Canis lupus familiaris: one gene and its partners. The protein of the gene in region 4 interacts with the protein of the main gene of each other region in a pairwise test. Links are inferred from orthologs where the notes say so. Each region holds a gene or a part of one and is shown on either strand. Other genes may lie near its edges. The genes, in order: LONRF1, PPP1CA, NXT1 and STAU1.

What was found.
Region 1: the proteins of STAU1 (region 4) and LONRF1 interact in binary tests that used the Homo sapiens proteins (3 or more experiments, as listed by UniProt). The two-hybrid records come from large-scale screens. The link is inferred for Canis lupus familiaris from reciprocal best matches to the Homo sapiens genes STAU1 and LONRF1.
Region 2: the proteins of STAU1 (region 4) and PPP1CA interact in a two-hybrid assay, tested with the Homo sapiens proteins (2 studies listed by BioGRID and IntAct). The link is inferred for Canis lupus familiaris from reciprocal best matches to the Homo sapiens genes STAU1 and PPP1CA.
Region 3: the proteins of STAU1 (region 4) and NXT1 interact in binary tests that used the Homo sapiens proteins (3 or more experiments, as listed by UniProt). The two-hybrid records come from large-scale screens. The link is inferred for Canis lupus familiaris from reciprocal best matches to the Homo sapiens genes STAU1 and NXT1.

Annotation. Positions count from the first base shown.
Region 1 is NC_049237.1:37,042,201-37,046,876, reverse strand, and holds part of LONRF1 (LON peptidase N-terminal domain and RING finger protein 1), read left to right. Parts: intron 1-41; exon of another isoform or gene 42-118; intron 119-2,598; coding exon 2,599-2,751; intron 2,752-4,292; exon of another isoform or gene 4,293-4,343; intron 4,344-4,676.
Region 2 is NC_049239.1:50,564,282-50,569,807, reverse strand, and holds PPP1CA (serine/threonine-protein phosphatase PP1-alpha catalytic subunit), read right to left. Parts: upstream 3,204-5,526; 5' UTR 3,108-3,203; coding exon 3,053-3,107; intron 2,528-3,052; coding exon 2,396-2,527; intron 2,240-2,395; coding exon 2,009-2,239; intron 1,453-2,008; coding exon 1,348-1,452; intron 1,152-1,347; coding exon 928-1,151; intron 845-927; coding exon 710-844; intron 633-709; coding exon 522-632; 3' UTR 389-521; downstream 1-388. Other genes in the region: TBC1D10C (carabin), read left to right, coding at 4,382-4,626, 5,375-5,474. UniProt on the Homo sapiens protein: Protein phosphatase that associates with over 200 regulatory proteins to form highly specific holoenzymes which dephosphorylate hundreds of biological targets.
Region 3 is NC_049245.1:673,396-678,785, forward strand, and holds the start of NXT1 (NTF2-related export protein 1), read right to left. Parts: upstream 3,358-5,390; 5' UTR 2,913-3,357; intron 2,512-2,912; exon of another isoform or gene 2,383-2,511; 5' UTR 2,311-2,382; intron 1,675-2,310; exon of another isoform or gene 1,655-1,674; intron 303-1,654; 5' UTR 250-302; coding exon 1-249.
Region 4 is NC_049245.1:36,469,977-36,474,902, reverse strand, and holds part of STAU1 (double-stranded RNA-binding protein Staufen homolog 1), read left to right. Parts: intron 1-1,164; 5' UTR 1,165-1,248; coding exon 1,249-1,453; intron 1,454-3,238; coding exon 3,239-3,363; intron 3,364-4,926. UniProt on the Homo sapiens protein: Binds double-stranded RNA (regardless of the sequence) and tubulin.

The DNA of each region.
Region 1 (4,676 bases), on a different chromosome or scaffold from region 4:
TTAGCTCCAAGTTACCTTTTTCTTATCTTGCTCTTACTTACTGAGAGTTCCAGGAGAACTTGGGTATCCAGAACGTAGATCATCTTCATTTCTACAAGCTCCACAACCAGCATGGTGCCTGGAATGTAGGTGGACACTGTGAGCACTTAACAACAGCAGTTAATTGAACTTTCAATCCATCTGAGTTATGAGAGCTGCTAATCTCTGCCCTTTTTAATTAAAGTTGATCATCAAAACTAATATCATCAGATTTAAGTGTGATATAAAGGAAAACACATAAAATCCTTTAAAAACTGTTATATATGTGTCTGACATAACCTTAATGATAAAAGAGACACAGTTGGGGGATGTGTTCAAAATCCAGGGCATCACAGAGAAAATACCATCACCATACTTGTTGGTGACCGCTTACCTAGGGAGGCTTATTGTGATAATCTTCGTGGACAGGGTTATGTGGCCTTTTTGATGTTTCCAGTATCTAATCACCATCTGTGATTAGTTTGAGTACCAGAAAAAGGATTTGTGATGCTATCAATATCAAATTAAAGGCAGTTTCCTTTGGAAGGGCATTATAAAACCATTGATCTTATGCTTTTGCTGTTCACTGACTTATTTGGGCCTTTCCTTTTATTTGCTTACTGAATATTGGCATTAGGCATTTCTGTAAACATTAGCTCATTGAATTTTCAAAACTCAGCAGATGAGGGAAGGTAAAAAAACAAAAAAGTGTTAATTTGCCTAAGATCCTTTAGGTAGAGTAATGAAAATGACTTAAAGCTAGCTCTCTGGCTCCCAAGTGCTGTGCTTTATCATTATGCCATAATTGCCTCTCTGGTAAACTCGATTAGTCTGATATTGCCTATCCTATTATTAAGATGCCATGGGGACACTTTTCTTTGTGCAATGGGCCAAACAGATTGTGTGAGTTTAAATTTTGATATGATACTGTCTGTGCCTCAGGCATGCTTGGTTAATAGAATCATTTGCTAAAGGCAATATTCTTCGTAAAAGTAATGCCTCATTTTAGCTTTTTGTAAGCTTACATCTTCACATTTGGATTTGATGACAAAATCCCTTGAGTGTATGGCCAGTCATATGATTAAATGTAAATATGGGACAACAGAATAGCATATTGAAAGCATTATAGATTTGATGTTTAGAAACAGTTGTCTTTGTAATCTTAGGAATGTCTAATAATTTTTCCTGGTCTTAATGCCTCATCTATATAATGATGTCTCTTCTGGAAGAGCCTCTCAAATTTGTTTCTTATAGCAAAATCTTTTCTTTTTTTCCTTAGTGTAGTAATTCTATTTTCTGTGATTTCTAATGAAGATTTAAAGTTCGGCTTGCTTTTTAGCCAGCTCCTTTTTCCATCTCAGGCACTTATCATTTTTGTCATTCCTTGTTTTCTAGAGCTCGTGGTTTGTTTCCTTGAATTTTGTAAGGGTGCAAAGTAGCAGTTTTCTTTTTTAATAGTTTTAACAAGTCACAAGTTTATTTCTAGCTTATATCAAGACCAATGTGTGGTAGCAGGGGACTGAATCTTGTGTAGTCATTCCAAAAGCAGAATTCTTCAACTGTATGGCTTCTCTCTACCTTTTTATTAACATAATTTACCAGTTTAATCATTTTTAAGTCTACAGTTCAGAGGCATTAAGTACATTCACATTATGCAAAAAGCAAGTGCTTTTTAGTTTTTTCATTTCAAATCTTTCAAAAATAAAATGTTTTCAGAGTTCCTTTGTTGTTTTTTATGGTGAGTCATTCTTGAAGTATGAAAGGCTGAGTCAGGGCTGGTATTTGTTCAGATGAGTTAATGTATGTGAAATAGAGCACTCCCTGGCACGTAGCAAGTGGTATAGAAGTGTGTGCTAAAGAAATCAATGTAAGATGGATGTGTTAATGCTCCCATTTTCTCTCCTGTGCTCTGTGAAGCTACTCCTTTTGGATCTTAGACTGTAAGACTGATGCATTCAATTTTGTGTTTGCAGTTTAGTGATCCAGTAGTCTGAGGGATTCAGGAAGTAGCCACAGCCTTGGCCTTAACAGCAAGCAGTTCATCGTGGCATAATTTATTCTCTATCTTTTGATATACTGGCTTTAGTTTCTTGTTGTTTTGACCCGGTTCCTTGCTAAAAGGTGTAATTATGCTTATTCTCCATCCTGTTAATGCTTTCTGCCATGTTATCTCTGCGTTAAACTTCCCCCGTTTTCCCTTTTATTGTAGCAGCTATATTCTTTTTTGTTCACTGTTTTCAAAAGCCATTAATCCATAAAGACAAAAAGGAATTCCAAATTCATGTAGACCTTTACCCAAGAATTCACTCTCAGTGGTACTGCTCTCAGTTGGGGGCTGGTGGTAGGGTTCTGCAGTATTACATTGCTCCACCGCCAAGGTGGGGTGCTCAGCTGATGTTTCAGTCTGGCCATTGGCACTGTGTGAGGCAGAAGTACATAATATGTATTGCATAATACTCTGATCCAGCAATGAAATAGGTATTGCCTATTTTAAAATTATTTTTTCATTTCTATAAGGCTAGTGGTAATGGGTAGGAAGACTAGATAGACACAAGTCTTACTGACTATTGTACCTTCTAGGTTGAGAATGAAGAAGAGATCAAGAATCTCAGACAGCTTCATGATTTGGTATACTCACAAGCCTGCAGCTGGTTTCAGAATTTAAGAGACAGATTTCGAAGCCAAATTCTTCAACACTTTGGCTCAATGCCTGGGAGGGAGGAAAACCTTCAGGTATGATGGCTTTGATATTGTTTCCAAAAGTCTCACTTTTTTTTAAATAAACTCAAATTAGTGGATTTTTAAGTTTTTTTCCCCCTTTGGCACAGCATTCCCTTTGTCCCTGCTGTCTTTAAAATCATGACCGTAGTCTCCAGATCAGTGGTACCCACTACAGTTTGTCTAGGAAGGGGATGGACAGAGTTATCAGCTGAGGTAGCTGTAGCCGTCATTGCATAGAAGGAAGAAGCCCTTACCCGAGGATTTGCTCGAAGGAGAGATAAGGAATTAATAGTGGAACATTCTGGTAAAATAATACTACCTAGTAAATCGTGATTAAGAGACCTAGTTGGCCTGGGAGCAGTCAGCTTCTTTGACAGTTGGGAGATGCATCATTTTATATACTTTCTAGAAGTCTTCTTTCATCTCCAACTTTTTTCCTTCTTCAATTCAATTCCTTTTTTCCTACTTCAATTCATTTTCACATTTCATACTTCACTCCTCATGAAACCATTGTTCTGATGGTCTTGCTCAAGTACTGAGGCACTTTCTGTGCAAGCAAACATGTGCAGTAGGGTACCATAAGATGCACAAGAAGAAGTATCCCCATTCTGAAAAGTCTGATGATAGACCTATCCAAACACCAACTTTTAGGCCTAAGCATTTTGAATTGAATAACATGGTTATGTTAGCAGATTTCATAATGTATTGGCTATAAATAAATATATGAAGAGGGAGAGAGAATAGATCCCACTGTGATGGACACTGCTTCTCATCCTAGTTTTCAAAGGATGGTCCAAGTCTGTCTGATTCCCAGTTGAATCCTTCACCTGGACCTGAACTAACATCAGACCATCTCCAAATGGGTACTCATTGTGTGTCTTACAGACTAGTTGCCACACATTTGTTTTATCCAGGCTACCAGAATCTGAGTAAACTTGATAGAGATAGCCTTTGATCATAAAATTGAGCAAGTAAATTTTAAATGTAAAAACTCAACATTCCTTTCACCACCTTCCCCTTTTATTATTCAGTCCTCTGCCCTTGCTTTCTAGTATTATTATTGTAGATCAGTATTTGGTCATGAAAGCAAAAGCAGCCACTCTGTATAATCCAGGCTGAAAAGTTTATTGTAGGATGTAGAGTTGACACAGCTGTTGGCAGAGCTGCAAGAGTGAAGATCAGGGACATCACTGATGGGAGACAGGGAGCTGCCACCATAGATCTCTCAGCCTGACACCAGTAAAGCACCATCTCCTCCAGAACATGCAGGGAAGTTTCTGTAATTCTTAGGAATCCCAGGGAGGCACCTATTAGCAGCAGTCTGTAACACTGTAGCAGGTGGTTCTTAAGTATTCTCAGGAAGGCTCTGCGGATCTGCCAACACTTTACAACAGTCTCTGGAGAACAATGGTTTCTTCTCTTCCAACTTCCACATCTCACAGAAGTATGCCTCTCCTTTGCCAAGTCTAACCAAGAACTGTCTGAGAGAGGGGATTCTGGGAAATGTTTCTGACCTCTCTGAAATGCAAGAAGGAGGTGGTAGTGATACTGACCTGAAAACATAGTCCAAAAATACAGCAACTCTGGTTTGACTCTCGAAGAATCTGGAGGGATACAACATTGATCTCAGGAGCGGTTTTTGTCATTTTGAACCAGGTTTCAGGTTCAATAAGAAGCAATCCAGTGTGCAGTAGAAGTGACTTAAAAATTCTTCTGTATAAATTCCAAGTTCTTTCGTTAGCCATCAGATATAGCCCTTATAACATCAGAAGGACTTCTTTGCTGGCAATGTTTATTTTTTCAAGCAAAACTGGAGGCTGAGACCTTTTATATGTTGCCTAGAATTTCATAGTTCTTTGAAGACATTTTTAACTTAATTGATATTTAATTAGGATGGTTTTGCCTCCGTAGCACATTTGGCAGTGACAGCTCACCAA
Region 2 (5,526 bases), on a different chromosome or scaffold from region 4:
ACCAAACTGTTTTCTCTATACTCTCTGGCCCCAGCTTGGAATTCTAAGCCCCCATGGACCTGAGCCTATGGCTGGGATTGCCCTAGCTGGGGCCCCATGCCCAGCATGCCTATCCTCCCAAGCAGCCCTGGACAGAAGGGCTGCCAGGCCCAGTATTTGGGACAAGGGAGACAGAGGCCATGGCGAGAATCCAGCTTTGACCTTTATTCAAGAGACCAGATGGGTTGCCCCAGGATCTGTCGGCCAGCCCTGAGGCCAAGCAAGGCTGGAAACCCACATCTGGCCCTGCTTTGCCCTGAGCTGCAGCCTCAGCCCCAGGATCCTGCTTGCCACCACTATAGCAGGCGGAAGGGGCCCTGGGGGATTGGACGCTGCTATTGATTCATTAAAAAAAAAAAAAAATACACCAAGGCTCCGTGTTCCCCGTGACAGGTGGGCCTGGGGGGCCAGCGTGAACCCCCTATGGCCACGTAATTTCTGTACAAATCCACCATCTGGGGCAGAGTGCGGGCACGCGGAGGCTATTTCTTGGCTTTGGCGGAGTTGCGGGGTGGGGTGATGGGCCGGCCTCCAGGGTTCAAGCCACTGAATTGCCCGTATTTCCCCTTGTTCTTGTCAGCGGGCTTGAGTATCTAAAAAAGACAAGAGCTGGTCAAACTCATGGGCTAAGCCACAGGGTCACCAGCCCCCCTCCTTCCCCCATCCCAACCTGGAAGGAGCACATGAGTGTCTCATCCACACTCATCATGGCGCCTGCATTGTCAAACTCGCCACAGTAGTTGGGAGCCGAGAAGAGAGTCACCAGCTGCCGCTTGGCAAAGAATTCATAGCCATCTTCTACCACCTGGATGAGGATGGGGGCAGTTTGTTCAGCAGGTGCTGGCTACCCAGGCCCCACTCCCACCCGCCCCAGAGCTGCCAGCCCACCTGGTGTGCCCGGCAGATGAGGTCCAAGTCGTGCTTGTGCAGGAATTTGGCCACTACCTCAGCCCCAAAGGTAAAGGAGACACCACGGTCATTCTCGCCCCAGCCCTGCACGTCCTTGTCAGGGTCAGACCACAGCAGGTCGCACAGCAGGCCCTGGTCCGGCACGTCTGTAGGCCGCATGATACGCCGAATCTGCTCCATGGACTGCAGGTCTGGGGACAGGCCTGGGGGAGGGCAGGTTACTTGCTTAAGCCTCAAAACAAAGAGTGACATGCAAACCAAGACCACTGGGAGAGGTCTTCCAGGTGACGGGGAAGACATCCTCCAGCTAACAGCCTCATCCCAGGGCTCCCCGGGATGTGGCCCAGGGCTCTTCCTTCCCAAAGAACCCTTCAACATGTACCCTAGAGCCACTCTCACCTCCATGGCAGCAGAAGATCTTCTCATCCACGATGGCAGCAATGGGCAGGCAGTTGAAGCAGTCAGTAAAGGTCTTCCACAGTTTAATATTGTAGCGTCTCTTGCCTGCTGGGAGGAAGGAGATGCCTCATGAGGCCTATCTGCCCCACAGCCAGCCTGGGTCTTGAGGCCCTCCAGACACAGCTGGGAGAAGAGAATGGCAGACAAGAAGAGAATCCCCCCTCCCCCGACTCCGCTGCCTACCAGCCTTCCAGGAATTCTAAAGCAGCTAGGTCCAGAGGAACCTGAGTTCCAATCCGAAACAACCCACCCGCACCCAGTGAGCAGGGCCAGGCCAAGACTAGGCCTGGTTTATCTCAGCTTCTGGTTGGTAGGATCCAGTCCAAATAGGCATCCCAAGTGCCTAATGGATGTCCTGGAGGGGAGTGTCATGAGGCAGGGCCCTGCATTAGAACATGGGCAGTCCTCAGCAGTCACTCCCCAGACCCCTCCTGCGTGCCGGCCCCACGGCAGGAGGGCAGGCAGAGAGGCACCAACTGGTGTGCACCCTTCGCAGAGCTCGCGGTCTGTGGGTAGTGGTCAGACACCAATTCCCCTACTGCCAGGCCTATGTGAGGGTCTCCCCGAAAAGGGAAGTCACTTAAGGACTTGGGCTACTCACACTCATCGTAGAAGCCATAGATGCGGTTGATGCTAGCACACTCATGGTTCCCACGGAGCAGGAAGAAGTTTTCGGGGTACTTGATCTTATAGGCCAGCAGCAAGCAGATGGTTTCCAAAGACTGCTTGCCCCGGTCCACGTAGTCCCCCAGGAAGAGGTAGTTGCTCTCTGGAGGGAAGCCACCATACTCGAAGAGCCGCAGAAGGTCGTAGTACTGGCCATGGATGTCACCTGTAACCCAGGGAACCGGTTCAGCGCTAGGTGCAGGGGCTACACTTGAACCCAGGGCCAAGTTCGGGCTCCAGGGAGCAGCAATGCAAGGACTGGGCGGGGTGAAGTGGGGATTCCACTTTCAGAAAGCCAAAGGGATCTGGGCAGCAGACTCACCGCAGATCTTGAGGGGTGCCTCCAGCTCCAAAAGAATGGGCTGGCTCAGGAAAATCTCCCGTGATTTGAGGCACAGACCACGGATCTCGTTCTCTGTTAGCTGTACATTCTTTCCAGGCCGCGAGCCCTGCACTGTGGGAGGAATGGGGTGTCAAGACTCTGGTCCCTCAGGCAGGAGGAAGGTGGGCGACACAAGTGGCCCTATGGGCACATCTGAGGGCGCCTGGGCCTCCTAGGCCCCTCCCTGCCTAGGGGCAGCTGTTGCTGGTGAGCCTCCCAGGACCTCCGCCTCTGGCCTCCCAGGATGGGACCCCCTCGAGGGGGTGTGCTGTGCGCGGGGGCCTGCCACCCAACACCCCACCCATAGCGCAGGACCCCTGGGAGGGGTGGAGCTAGGCTTCTTAGGTTTCTCCCTCACTCCCAATAGCGCAGGCCAACCCGTGCGCCCCCCGCCCAGGAGGGGGGCTGCTCCCCGTGCCAGAGCGTCCCCGGAACCCCCCTCCCCCGGCGCGCCGCGACTCGGGGGGCGGCTGTGGCCACGGGACCTTGCGGCCCGTCCCCGCCCAGTCTAAGCTGGCCCGGGGAGGGGCAGGCCCGCCCGCGCACCACTTCCGGGCCAGGGCGCGGCGGGCACCGACCTCCCCGGCCCCGGCCAACCTTCCAGCAGGCGCCCGATGATGGAGTCCAGGTTGAGCTTCTCACTGTCGGACATGGCGGCGCCGCCGCTCCGCCCCAGCAGCTCCGGGCCCGCTCCTGCCGCCCTCCCTCCCGCCCGCTGCCTCCTTCCGGCCTGGCGCTCCTTCCGCCCGCCCCGGCCCGCCCCGGCCTGCCGCCCCGCCTCCCCGGCCCGCCGCCCCGCCCTGCGCGCTGCCCCCGCGCTCTAGCGCTCCCGCCGGACACCGCGCGCAGCGGCCGCGGCGGCCCGGGGGGCGGGGCATAGGGGACGGGGCGGGGCTCGGGCTGAGCTCGGCCGTCGGGACGGAGCCCGGCCGGTGGGTGGAGCTCGGAGGGCGGGGTCGAGTCTGGTCCCGCCCCCGAGGAGTTACCCGAGTCCAGTTCCGAGAATATGGGGCCGGAAGTGCTGTGGGAGTTGTTTGTCTCTGTCAGACGCTAACCCACCCCCTGGGCGGGAGCGTGGTATGAGCACATTAATAACCGATGCTCCAGACACTGCGGATCAAGTCCTCGAAGTGCAGAAAAGGAAACGGAGACTCAAGAGATAGCAGGGGGGTGGGTTGGTCCAAAACCCTGGCCTCACATTCACGGGGGGCCTCCACCTCCTGAGTCTCTGCGGCCCTCAAGGCAGCTGGCCAGACCCAGGCACCTGCCGCGGCGCTCTGAACCCATCTTGGTCCACGCTGTGCTGCACGCTGAACTAATTTTTGTAAGTTCCGTTATTGCCTGCTGAGTGCATAATAACGCTGCGTTAGGTATATATTCAAAGCATTACTTGTAAAGAGCAAATATTAAATAAACGAGAATTCTCACTGGAATCTTGAATTGTTTTAACCTCAAAACTGGAGGGGCCTGGCCTCTGTAACTCGGGTGGGTCCTGGACTGGTCACACCCTGCTCTGGAGCCCAAGCCTGCAGCCACCCAGCCCATGGGGAGGGTGGGAGGAGCCCACGGTCCTGGGGGCACTGGGGCAGGCCGGAAGAGCCTCAGAGAGGAAGAGGTGACCCCCCCACACACTTGGGAGGGGAGTGTGGGAGGGGCCCCCCAGCCGGTGGCTGAAGCTGCTGAGAAGGAGGAAGTGAGAGGAGGAGGTGAGGTGCAGCAGGGAGGTAAGCTGGCCTGGGGGGGCAGGGGCTGGGCCTGGGGACCAGCCTCTACACAGAGGTCTGGCTTTTCTGCCATTTCAAGGCTCACTCTCACCCTCACCCTCCCACCCCGATAAAAGAGGGGACAGAGGGGGCTTGGTGAGATGCCCTGAAGTCTGTGCCCTCTGAACCCTGCAGCCAGGTCCCCGGGCTGGGGACCGGCTGGATGGGAGCTCAGGCCCCAGGCTGGTCAGAAGCTGCCTCTCACACTGGCTTTCCCCACATCTTGCAGCCTGTGGTAGCTTGGGTCTGGGGCACCATGGCCCAGGCCCTGGGGGAGGACCTGGTACAACCTTTCGAGCTGCAGGATGACTCAAGCTCTTTGGGGTCCGACTCAGAGCTGAGTGGGCCTGGCCCATATCGCCAGGCTGATCGCTATGGCTTCATTGGGGGCAGCTCAGCAGAGCCAGGGTAAGTGGGGAAGGGATGAGGGGCAGTGGGGTGCTGGGAGTGAGGATGGGGGTTGAGGGCTGAATTCTAGAGACAGGCTCAACTCCTAGGGTCCTAGAGGGCCTGGGGACTCAGCCAGTGTCCCTACTCCTCATGTTCCAGGAGGAATCCTAAAGCTGGTAGGGCTGCGGCAAGAGTGTCCCTCATGTGTCTCTTTGACTCCCAATCTCCCAGCCTTTGCACCTATCCTTGGGGCCAGATATCCTTCTGCTTTTAATCCCTGCCATGATAATCCCAGAACCAAACCAAAGAACCCACACCTCTATCCCTACCATCTTCCTTTCCAGATATACAGACAGGAAAACAATTCCAGATAGGAGCTTGCCCAAGGTCACACGGCAGATCAGATAGAATCAGGTTCAAACTCAGGACTCCTAGCTTCTAGCCCTTGGCTCTGGCCACCTGCCTCTCTTATGAGTTGTCTGTGTTCCTGTCCTGGAGGACAGCCACCTGGCCCCTGCCCTCCCCCAACACACACCTACACACCCCCTTCAGCCTCTCCTGCTTCTGCCCACATCAGAGCCACATTTTCTCCTGTCCCTATGACAACCACTGGCAACTCCTGGGTGATAGGTTACCCCCCACCCGGGGCTCCCTAGAGATCCCCACAACCAGGAGCTGAGTTTACCCGGGTAGCATGGAAGGTGGCAGAGGTGGGCTCTGGGTGAGAGCCAGCCAACGCCTCGATGCCTGTGCCTTGTGCCCACAGGCCAGGTCACCCTCCTGCAGACCTTATCCGCCAGCGGGAGATGAAGTGGGTGGAGATGACCTCACACTGGGAGAAAACCATGTCTCGGCGGTACAAGAAGGTGAGGGGACAATGGGACTCTTCAGTCATCCCCCTTTGCCTCTGCCTATGCC
Region 3 (5,390 bases), about 36 Mb from region 4:
TTCATCATGGACAGGTTGGCAGTCTACCACGTTGATCTGGAACTCACTGGAAGGCAGCATTTCAAAAAACTCACTCAAGGACTCTTGTCCTGAAACAGCGTTTCCATTCCACACAAGGGTGGCCGTGCCCATGTACAGGCGGGACAGCAGGCGCCGCCGCTTATCCATGGTAGTGTAGTACACGTTCACAAACTCCTCAGCAGCTCTGCAGGCCTGATCCACGTAGGTCTTGAAGTCCACTGACGCCATCTCCAGCCCTGCCAAAGGAGGCCCAGGTGTGCCTGTGCCTGAGGGAGCCGGGGCTGTGGAGCAGGAAGGTTGAAGAGAACCCCGTGAATGTCCAAGTTCGTTCTGCCCTGACAATGGAATAATTATTTTCTCCCAGTGGCAAAACAATTACAGACTGTAGAGAGATGACTCTAGGCTCAAATTTTGCGACACCTCATCTTACAATGCCTCGGTTTGCTCATTTAAAAATGGAAATAGCACCACTTGTGACATAGTTGTAATGTGAGAATTAAACAAGACAGTGCTTAGTTAAAAAGCCTGTTATCTACATATTCAAAAAATGTTAGCTATTACTAGGAATTTTAAAAATCTCATTTTATAAAAGATAGTACATTTGCCTATGTATGGTCACTTTTTCCTGGAAGCGTGGACCAGGTGTGACTGCCCCTAGAAAAGTGGAGAAACAATGGATCCTGGATAAAGATAGTGGACCACATGGGATCCCTGGGTGGTGCGGCGGTTTAGCGCCTGCCTTTGGCCCAGGGCACGATCCTGGAGACCGGGATCGAGTCCCACGTTGGGCTCCCGGTGCATGGAGCCTGCTTCTCCCTCTGCCTGTGTCTCTGCCTCTCTCTCTCTCTGTGTGACTATCATAAATTAAAAAAAAAAAAAAAAAAAAAAAAAAAAGATAGTGGACCACAATGAAGGGAGCAGTGGCCCAATAAACACCAGTCAGAAGGCATATGCTTGTCAGCTGCTGACAGTCTAAGATGAAAGCCTATCATGAGCTCACCCAACAGATAGTGGGAGAGCAAAGAGAAGGCAGGTTTTCTAAGATAAGAGAACAAATGTCACTAGCATGGTACCAAAATAGTGGTCAAGATCCTCATGACACGGCTAACCTTCAGCTACTGGGAATGAGAAGGGAGGGCACCTAGCTTCCATGAGCACAAATACCTACAAGGCAAGTTCTGTGAGCCAAAATGGAAAGACAAGTTAAAAATGGAAAGGCAAGTTCTGGGACACCTGGGTGGCTCTGTTTGTTACGTGTCCAACTCTTAATTTCAGCACAGGTCATGATCTCAGGGTCATGGGATCCAGCCTTGCATCCAGCTCTGAGCTTGCAGCAGAATTGGTTTGTTACTCTCCTTCTGCTTCTCTCCCCCACCGTCTCAAATAAATAAAAATCTCAAAAATAAATAAATACAAGAATCACGTAAGTTGTATGGATTGAGGATGGAGGTGGTGGCAACAAAAAAAAGAAACTCAACTGTGGCTGAAATGTCACATTTCCTTAAAAAAAAAAAAAAAAAAGCCCCAAAGCATAAAGAAATATTATTATTTGATAGTCTCAAAGTATGGTACAACTGTTACAGTTCCCTGCTCTTCTTTGCATCATTAAAATATTTCACTAGAAGTGGGGTACCTGGGTGGCTCAGCTGGTTAAGCATCTGCCTTCAGGGCTGGTTGTGATCCCAAGGTGCTGGGGTCAGGCCCCATCCCAGCCCCAGCCTGCTCCCTGCTCAGATGGCAGCCTGCTTCTTCCTCTGCCCCTCCTCCTACTTGTGCAGGTGCACGTGCCTGTGCTCTTCCTCAAATAAATAAATCTTTAATAAAATTTTTAAAAATGAAATATTTAAATAAAAGAAAAAATTCACGGGACTATTACTAAGATAATGGATACGTTTAGATATACACTTAATGAATGTTTGTTTCAAAGACCTTAACTTCTTTTTTTAAATATCAGCTCATGAAATAGAGAAAAGATTTCAAAGAGTTGGGAAAGAGGAGGGTGCACAAGGAGGAGGCCTCTGCCCTGGAGTAAAGAACTGTAAAGAGCAGGCAAGGAGCTCAGTCCTAGAAATGAGGAGAGAGAGGAGCAGACACAGCCCGAGGTCTCTGCACTCCCCCTTTGGACCCAGAGTCAAGCCTCAGCGGACAGGTTGCGAGCTGGGTATCTGCCGCCTACTTTGAATACATCACCTCCTTCGACGGTCACCACAAAAGGACACACAATCTTAAAAATGAGAAGGGAGACAGGGGTTGGATCACGGTCTGACGGCAAGCACGCGCCTGATTTACCTTCCTAAGAATGCTGGTGGCCTCTGAAAACGTCAGGCCTCCGCTGTCCTTCCCTTGTCACCCTGCGCGTCCCTGCAGGTAGGAAGTCGAGTCTCTGAGAGCACCGCTCGGGGCCTGCCGCTGGCTTGAAGCTCCCCTCCAGGGCCCGGCCCCTGACCCCACGGGGCTCCCCGGCGCGCCGGGCCCTCCGCAGCCTCGAGTCGTTCCGCGGGCGCCCTGCCCACCCCTGCTCTACCGGCCGGGGCGACTCCCAAGCCCAGCCCAGCACCGGTCCCGGCGCGGAGGGGAGGCACCGGCTCCTCCCCCGCGCTGCTGCTGCCCACAGCGCCGACGGCTCCCCTCCTCCATCCAATCCGGGATAAGAAACGTCGGAAGTGAGCTAAGAACGAGGCCGCGAGGCCGCCGCCTTCCCTCGAGGCCTCCGTCGGCAGGTCCTAGGCGCTGGACCAGAGACCACGCCACAGGCCTCATCCCGGCGCCAGGCGCTTCGCACCCGCCCGCCCGCCCGCCCGCCCGCCGGGTCCTCGGCCCGGACCTGCCGCACTGCCCCGGCTTCCCCCGCGACGGAGCCCGCCGCCAAGCGCCGGGCACGGCGTACTGACCTGGGGCGGCGCCGCCAGCACAGCACAGGGACGCGGCGGGGCCCGGCCGAGCGCCGACGACGCGGACGGGCGGGGATGCACGCGGGAGGCGTCTCCGGAGCCCCCGGGCCGGGCCTGCGGTCGTCGGCCTGCGGGCCGCGGGGGACGCTGGGGGCCTCTGGGGGCCTCCCTGCGCGGCGGGGGCCGGGGTCGGCGCCGGGGTCGGCGTCTCCCGGCCCGCGTGGGCGGCGGCTCGCCCCGCACGGCCCCCGGCTCCACGGAGGTCGCAGGGCGGGCCTGCCCAGGCTGGAGGTCCTCCGCCGCTCGCTTCAGGGAGGGCCGGGAGCGCCGCCCTCTGCCACCCTTCTTCCCGGACCCACCAGGGTCGTCGAGACCCCTGAGCCCGGCCGGGGACCCGCAGCCGCCTCCGCAGCCGCCCTCCGCAGCCTCCCGCGCGCGGCCCGCCCCGCGCTGCGCAGACGCCGGTGCCCGCGGCTCCGCCCCCTCCCGCCTCCGCTTGACAGGCAGCTGTGTCAGCCAACCGGACGGAGGACCTGGAGGCTGGCCCCGCCCAGGTGTGGCGCAAAGGACACGGTGGCTTCCGGGAGAGGCGCTTTCCCAGAAGGCCACAGAAAATCAGCGGTCGGGTTTTCATTGGCTTAACTAGGCATAGGACCCGGTCCGATTGGTCACGTGGGTTTCTTGATTGGATGAAATATCCCAGGTCCCGCCCCCGGAGCAAGAACCGGGAGAGGTGTGTCCCGCGCAGTGGAGGCCGCCGGACTGGAGAGGATGGGGAGGAGTCTGTGCGGCGACCTCAGGTTCTTGCCCTATGACCTCCATTCACCTGCAGTCGGGGAAATTCTATTAATAGACGACTTGATGCTATCTCGGAAAGCCAGCACTAGAAGCAGGCAGTGACCCACGGAGGCTTTCACACAGGCACGGCAGGTGGGGCGCCGGGAACACGGACTCCGCCGAGCCCCTGGGGAGCTCTGCCTGAGGAGGGCTCTCGGCTGGGTGCTCCCCCCACCACGTGGAGCTCGCCCGAGGAGGGGTCTCGGCTGGGTGCTCCTCCCCACCACGTGGAGCTCTGCCCGAGGAGGGGTCTCGGCTGGGTGCTCCTCCCCACCACGTGGAGCTCGCCCGAGGAGGGGTCTCGGCTGGGTGCTCCCCCCCACCACGTGGAGCTCTGCCCGAGGAGGGGTCTCGGCTGGGTGCTCCCCCCCACCACGTGGAGCTCTGCCCGAGGAGGGGTCTCGGCTGGGTGCTCCTCCTCACCACGTGGAGCTCTGCCCGAGGAGGTGTCTCGGCTGGGTGCTCCCCCCACCACCACGTGCAGCTCTGCCGGAGGAGGGGTCTCGGCTGGGTGCTCCCCCCCCCACCACGTGCAGCTCTGCCCGAGGAGGGCTCTCGGCTGGGTGCTCCCCCCACCACGTGGAGCTCTGCCCGAGGAGGGGCCTCGGCTGGGTGCTCCTCCTCACCACGTGGAGCTCGCCCGAGGAGGGGTCTCGGCTGGGTGCTCCCCCCCACCACGTGGAGCTCTGCCCGAGGAGGGCTCTCGGCTGGGTGCTCCCCCCACCACGTGGAGCTCGCCCGAGGAGGGGTCTCGTCTGGGTGCTCCCCCCCACCACGTGCAGCTCTGCCCGAGGAGGGGTCTCGGCTGGGTGCTCCCCCCCCCACCACGTGCAGCTCTGCCCGAGGAGGGCTCTCGGCTGGGTGCTCCCCCCACCACGTGCAGCTCTGCCCGAGGAGGGGTCTCGGCTGGGTGCTCCTCCCCACCACGTGGAGCTCGCCCGAGGAGGGCTCTCGGCTGGGTGCTCCCCCCCACCACGTGGAGCTCTGCCCGAGGAGGGGTCTCGGCTGGGTGCTCCCCCCCACCACGTGGAGCTCTGCCCGAGGAGGGGTCTCGGCTGGGTGCTCCTCCCCACCACGTGGAGCTCGCCCGAGGAGGGCTCTCGGCTGGGTGCTCCCCCCACCACGTGGAGCTCTGCCCGAGGAGGGGTCTCGGCTGGGTGCTCCTCCCCACCACGTGCAGCTCTGCCCGAGGAGGGGTCTCGGCTGGGTGCTCCCCCCCACCACGTGGAGCTCTGCCCGAGGAGGGCTCTCGGCTGGGTGCTCCCCCTGCCACGTGGAGCTCTGCCCGAGGAGGGGTCTCGGCTGGGTGCTCCCCCCCACCACGTGGAGCTCTGCCCGAGGAGGGGTCTCGGTTGGGTGCTCCCCCCCACCACGTGGAGCTCTGCCCGAGGAGGGGTCTCGGCTGGGTGCTCCTCCTCACCACGTGCAGCTCTGCCCGAGGAGGTGTCTCGGCTGGGTGCTCCCCCCCACCACGTGGAGCTCTGCCCGAGGAGGGGTCTCGGCTGGGTGCTCCCCCCCCCACCACGTGCAGCTCTGCCCGAGGAGGGGTCTCGGCTGGGTGCTCCTCCTCACCACGTGGAGCTCTGCCCGAGGAGGTGTCTCGGCTGGGTGCTCCCCCCCACCACGTGGAGCTCTGCCCGA
Region 4 (4,926 bases):
CTAATTGCTCTGATTGTTCATCTCTTTCCAAAGGTCCAGCTTTAATTAAAAATTATTTTGAGACTTTAAAAAAAACTAAAGTAACCATTACTTTGTAATAGAAATTCTGATTTATTTGCTGGTTTCTGTTTTGGTTAGCTTTTCTACTCGTTGTTGTTACTGGTTATTTGGGGGTACTTTTGGCTCGCTTAAATACATTCATCTATTTGAATGGTGTCCATGACTGTAAGCAGAACAGTCCTTACCTTTGACTTATGAAGAAATTTAAATGTATTCAGAAATAATGCCTTTGGAACTTAGAAGGTGAAGTAGACCATTTCCTCTGCTTCCTGGGTTCCACTCCCATCCACACTAGTGAAATTGCTAGTCTGAAATCTGTTCCTCTCTTTTTCATCTTTTCCACCTTTGCTTTTAATCATACAAACATTATAGAATGTTCTTTACTATTCAAATAATTTCTCAGGATCTTGCATGTTGGTGTAGATGCAAGTTTTATTTGGGGTCTGTAACTAATGAGACCATCTCAAACCTCATAGGAAAAAGATCTTTTATTGTCATAAGGAAAAAGAAACAGTAGAAGTAAGAAATTCCTGTCTTTCTTCAGTCAGCTTAAAGGAAAACTGTAAGGGTGCCAGCCTGAGCACGTGGCCCTTCAGTGGAAGCAGTGTGTACATTCACACACTAATGGTCTTAGGAACCAAGTGTGCTTTCACCTTCTGATAATTTTGAGACAAGAAATCTTTACCGTATCCCATATAGTATGGAAAGCCTCTCCGTACCTTTTTTTTTTTTTTTTTTTTTTAGTTTTTTTTTTCCTTTTTTTCCCCCACATTTTTTTAATTAGACATTTTGAATACAGGCTGTAGTTTGTAATTCTTAATTTTCAACAATGAATGTCATTAAACCCTACTGGTGCTCTTTATAAAATAAACATGCAGAGCATATGGGTATTGCAAGTCATTTAAAAGCACTGTCAGAAAGTCACAAGGCCAGGAACTTCACTGTGTACCGAGGGGAACACACTTCTAATACATCAGCATAGCTACAAGCTCAGTGGGACTATTTTCATTCTTGAGTAGGTGACACCAATTTTGACTGAATATTGGCAATTACATATCTCCTCTATAATTTACCTTTTTATTTTCTTTCCCTTACAACTTTTAGGTAGAACTTTAGACTTCATAGCACTGAATTAACCTGCACTGAAAGCTGTTTACCTGCAGTTGTTCACTTTTGTTGAAAGTGACCATGTCTCAAGTTCAAGTGCAAGTTCAGAACCCATCTGCTGCTCTCTCAGGGAGCCAAATACTGAACAAGAACCAGTCTCTCCTCTCACAGCCTTTGATGAGTATTCCTTCTACTACTAGCTCTCTGCCCTCTGAAAATGCAGGTAGACCTATTCAAAACTCTGCTTTACCCTCTGCATCTATTACACCCACCAGTGCAGCTGCAGGTAAGCGTATGAATCCGAGTGTCTTCTTTTTCAAATGTTTTCTTAGCCTGTTTTTTGATCTGATAAGTAGATTGCAGATGTAGGGAGCTCTCACATTACCTTCCAGAAGCAGAAGAAAGTATTAACACCCACACTTCTTTGTTCCAGATGTAAAACACTTGGTTGTATACTGGGTTGACGGAGGCCTGAGTTGACAGACCATTTCAAAGTGTAAGAAAGGGAATTGTAAACTAAACTATAAAACCAAACTTATTAAAAAATGGTGGCCAACAGAAAGGATTGAACAGTAAATACCACTCTGGATATGTTTTGTTGTATGGGAAAATTCTGCTTTTAAAATTATTTCCCAGAACTGACAATCTTTGTATGTGAAAGCCCCTGTTTTAGATGTGTATAAAGATTATATCCCAAGCAAGGGAGCAGCCAGATTCACTGGAAAGCAAGAGAGTGCATTGGCATTTGTTAATTTTTATTTTGAACAAGTAAGTTTGAGATTCCAGACGTAGTTTAGAAGTCACAGTGAGGACCAATTAAAAATTGAACCAAAGAAGCAGAGATTTTTGAAGAGGAAATAAGTTTAGAAGCATTTAAATCTGTTAGGAAAATAAAAATGAACTAAGTGTGCTCATTGATGGAGCACCTGGCCAGCTCAGTCTGAATAACATGTGACCCTTGATATTGGGGTTATAAGTTCAAGGCCCACGTTGGGTTTAGAGATTATGTTTTTAAAAATTTATAAATAAATCTGCTCATTGATGAGAAAAGATTTGAAACACCTGAAAAATAAACAATTCTGAAAACAATATTCTGCTTTCCAACCTTTCCCCAAAGTGGCAAAACCAATTAAATGGGGTGCCAGCATGGGTGTCTCCATAGCAGAGTCACCTTCTAACAAATTCTTTCAACCCCTTGTGCCTGACAGTTTCCCTTGCATTTCCTCCTTCATTTCTCATTTCCTTCACTTTATAAATCTGTCTTAGAGTGTTGGCTCGTCCCTCTCTCAGCTGCACAACATCTGTCACACTACCTCTAGGCTTCCTTGGACTGGCTCACCGGAGAGCAATCTTGACTTGTCATCGTACCCAATAGATTCAGGATTCAGTTTTCCCCAAATTTGCCATTGGAGACCATCTTCAAAGGAAATGTCACAGACTGTTTCAGTCCTCTGGGATTTACTGCTTTTTTCTTCTAATGTGCTCTTACATCCACATCCTACTGACTTGTAAAACTCCCACCTCCAAGGCTGTTTTATTTTACTTGTATAATTCTCAGAAGTAGATAAGATCTGAGGATGGCAGCCTCTGGAGATAAGACTAGGGGTGCCCCTGGAACGAGAAGTTAGCCATGTGGGAAATGACAGTCGTTGTTTGAGAAATGGCATTGGCACGTTGAGTTTTGTGCAATAACCGACAGGGTCCGGCTGACAGCTGTTGTGGTAACCAGTGTGTCTGTGCTCACAAGACCTCTGTGTAATTCCCGTGGTTGGTTATAATAACAGTGCTTCATCTGATTTCAAATCTTGCTTGCTGCCATGGTTTAGTTATTCCCCCTGGCCTCGGTTCTCTCTCTTGGGAAGACACACTTTCCTAGGTTCCCTGGCTTCAGCCGGTTCAGAGAAGACCCCAGCTGTGTCTTCAAGCAGGCGCCACCATGTGGTTTGCAGTTGTGCATCACTGCTGCTCTGAATCCTTAGACCTTCTGCTTTCCCTCTTTTTTCATGTCCCCGGGAGAGCAGCAGTCCTATATACTGCTGGTTGACTTCATTGCTCTTACGTTATTTTTCAGTTCCTTCTAGCATGGCACACCCCAAAGAGAAAACCCCAATGTGTCTTGTGAATGAGTTAGCCCGTTTCAACAAGATTCAGCCTGAGTATAAGCTTTTGCGTGAGCAAGGTCCAGCTCACTGTAAGGTAAATATTGTCCATACTGCTTGTGCATTTATAACCCACCAGGAATGTTTTCTGTCTTTTTATGCTGTTCCAAGTGGTGCTGTGATGCAGAATACATGCTTTCCAGTCACTGAGGCTATCTTCAAGAGATGCAAAAGTAGAGATTTTGGCAATTCGCTTCTCTTCATCCTTGCAGAATGGGTCAAAGAAAAGACATGCTTCTTTTTGGGATATGTGGCTTTTAAAACTCCAGTTAGTGTGTGATTGTCTTTAGGATTCTGAATAGAGACAATTCCCAAGCACCTGTGAATGATTTCCTGTGAGTTTTCCAGGCTCTGGGCCTCCTGGCTACAGCCTGCTCTGGCTCCTTTCCTGCTTCCTTGCATGTGTACCTTAGACTGGGCAGGGAGAGGGGAACAGGAAATCCATTTTGCCACTTGTTAGCAATCCAGGTAAAAGGTTTGAAGATGAGAGGTAGAAATTAGTCTCAAAGTGAGTCCTTTGGATTGTCTCTGATTTCACTTATCCTTGTCTTTCCCCATATCTTAGAGAATGGAAGACTGACTGTAATTTAAATGTTTACTATTTGTTATTCAGGAATTCAGTCTTTGAAGCTTGCTTGATATCTGTACTAATGTAAATCTTGGAACTTAAATGTGTGCATATCTGGCTTTATCTTTGCAGCTGCAGTGTGAGAGAGGGTATGGTATCAGAGAAAAGGAATTGGGCCTCTATTTCCGATCCTAGCTTTGCAGTAAAGAGAATATAATTAAGGATGAGTTATTGGTCTCTTTATGCCTCATTTTTCTTGACATGCAAACCTCAAACCTTGAATGATAACAAGTTTCTTTTCATTTGACTAAAAGTAACATCAGCGGCAATCCTAAATAGGCACCATAGTGTAGTTAGGTGAGTCGCCTTTGGTGTCAGACAGATCTGGGTTTAAATCTCAGTTTCTTCTAGCTATGTGACCTTGGGTAAACTACTACTTTTTTGAACCTTAGTCTCCTCATCTGTAAAATGGGGATAATACCTACCCAAGTAGGTCTACTGTGAGAATTAAACGAGAGACTATGTATTAAAGTGTGGAGCACAATGCCTGGCAGTTAATAAGTCCTTCAGAAATGGTAGCTATTACGCATTTAAGAAACAGAAATTTGAAGAAAAAAAAAAAAGAAACAAATTTGTACTCACATGAAGCGAGTTTTAACATTATTCTAAAGCATGATCATATTTGAAATGTTTCTTTACTTTTGGAAGGCAATTCGTGATTTTCTATAACTGTTCTGTTTCTTCTACAGGATTTTTTTTGCAGACCTTAACTTTGGGATTCCCTTTATTAACTGTTTTCGGTATTTTTTGAAATACGTACTTTCTCACTTAAACTTTAGTGATACTGTAGATAATTTGGCTGTGTGTTCAATCTGTAACTGCCCTTTTTTTTTTTTAACCTTCAAGTTATTCAAAGAGGAAAAGATATTCCCTCCTAGGTGACTATTGGACTCTTTAAAAAATCAGTGGTATGGTGTCATTTTAATTCTCTTGAAACCTAGATTTTAACCCCCACTACTGACCCTCCACACA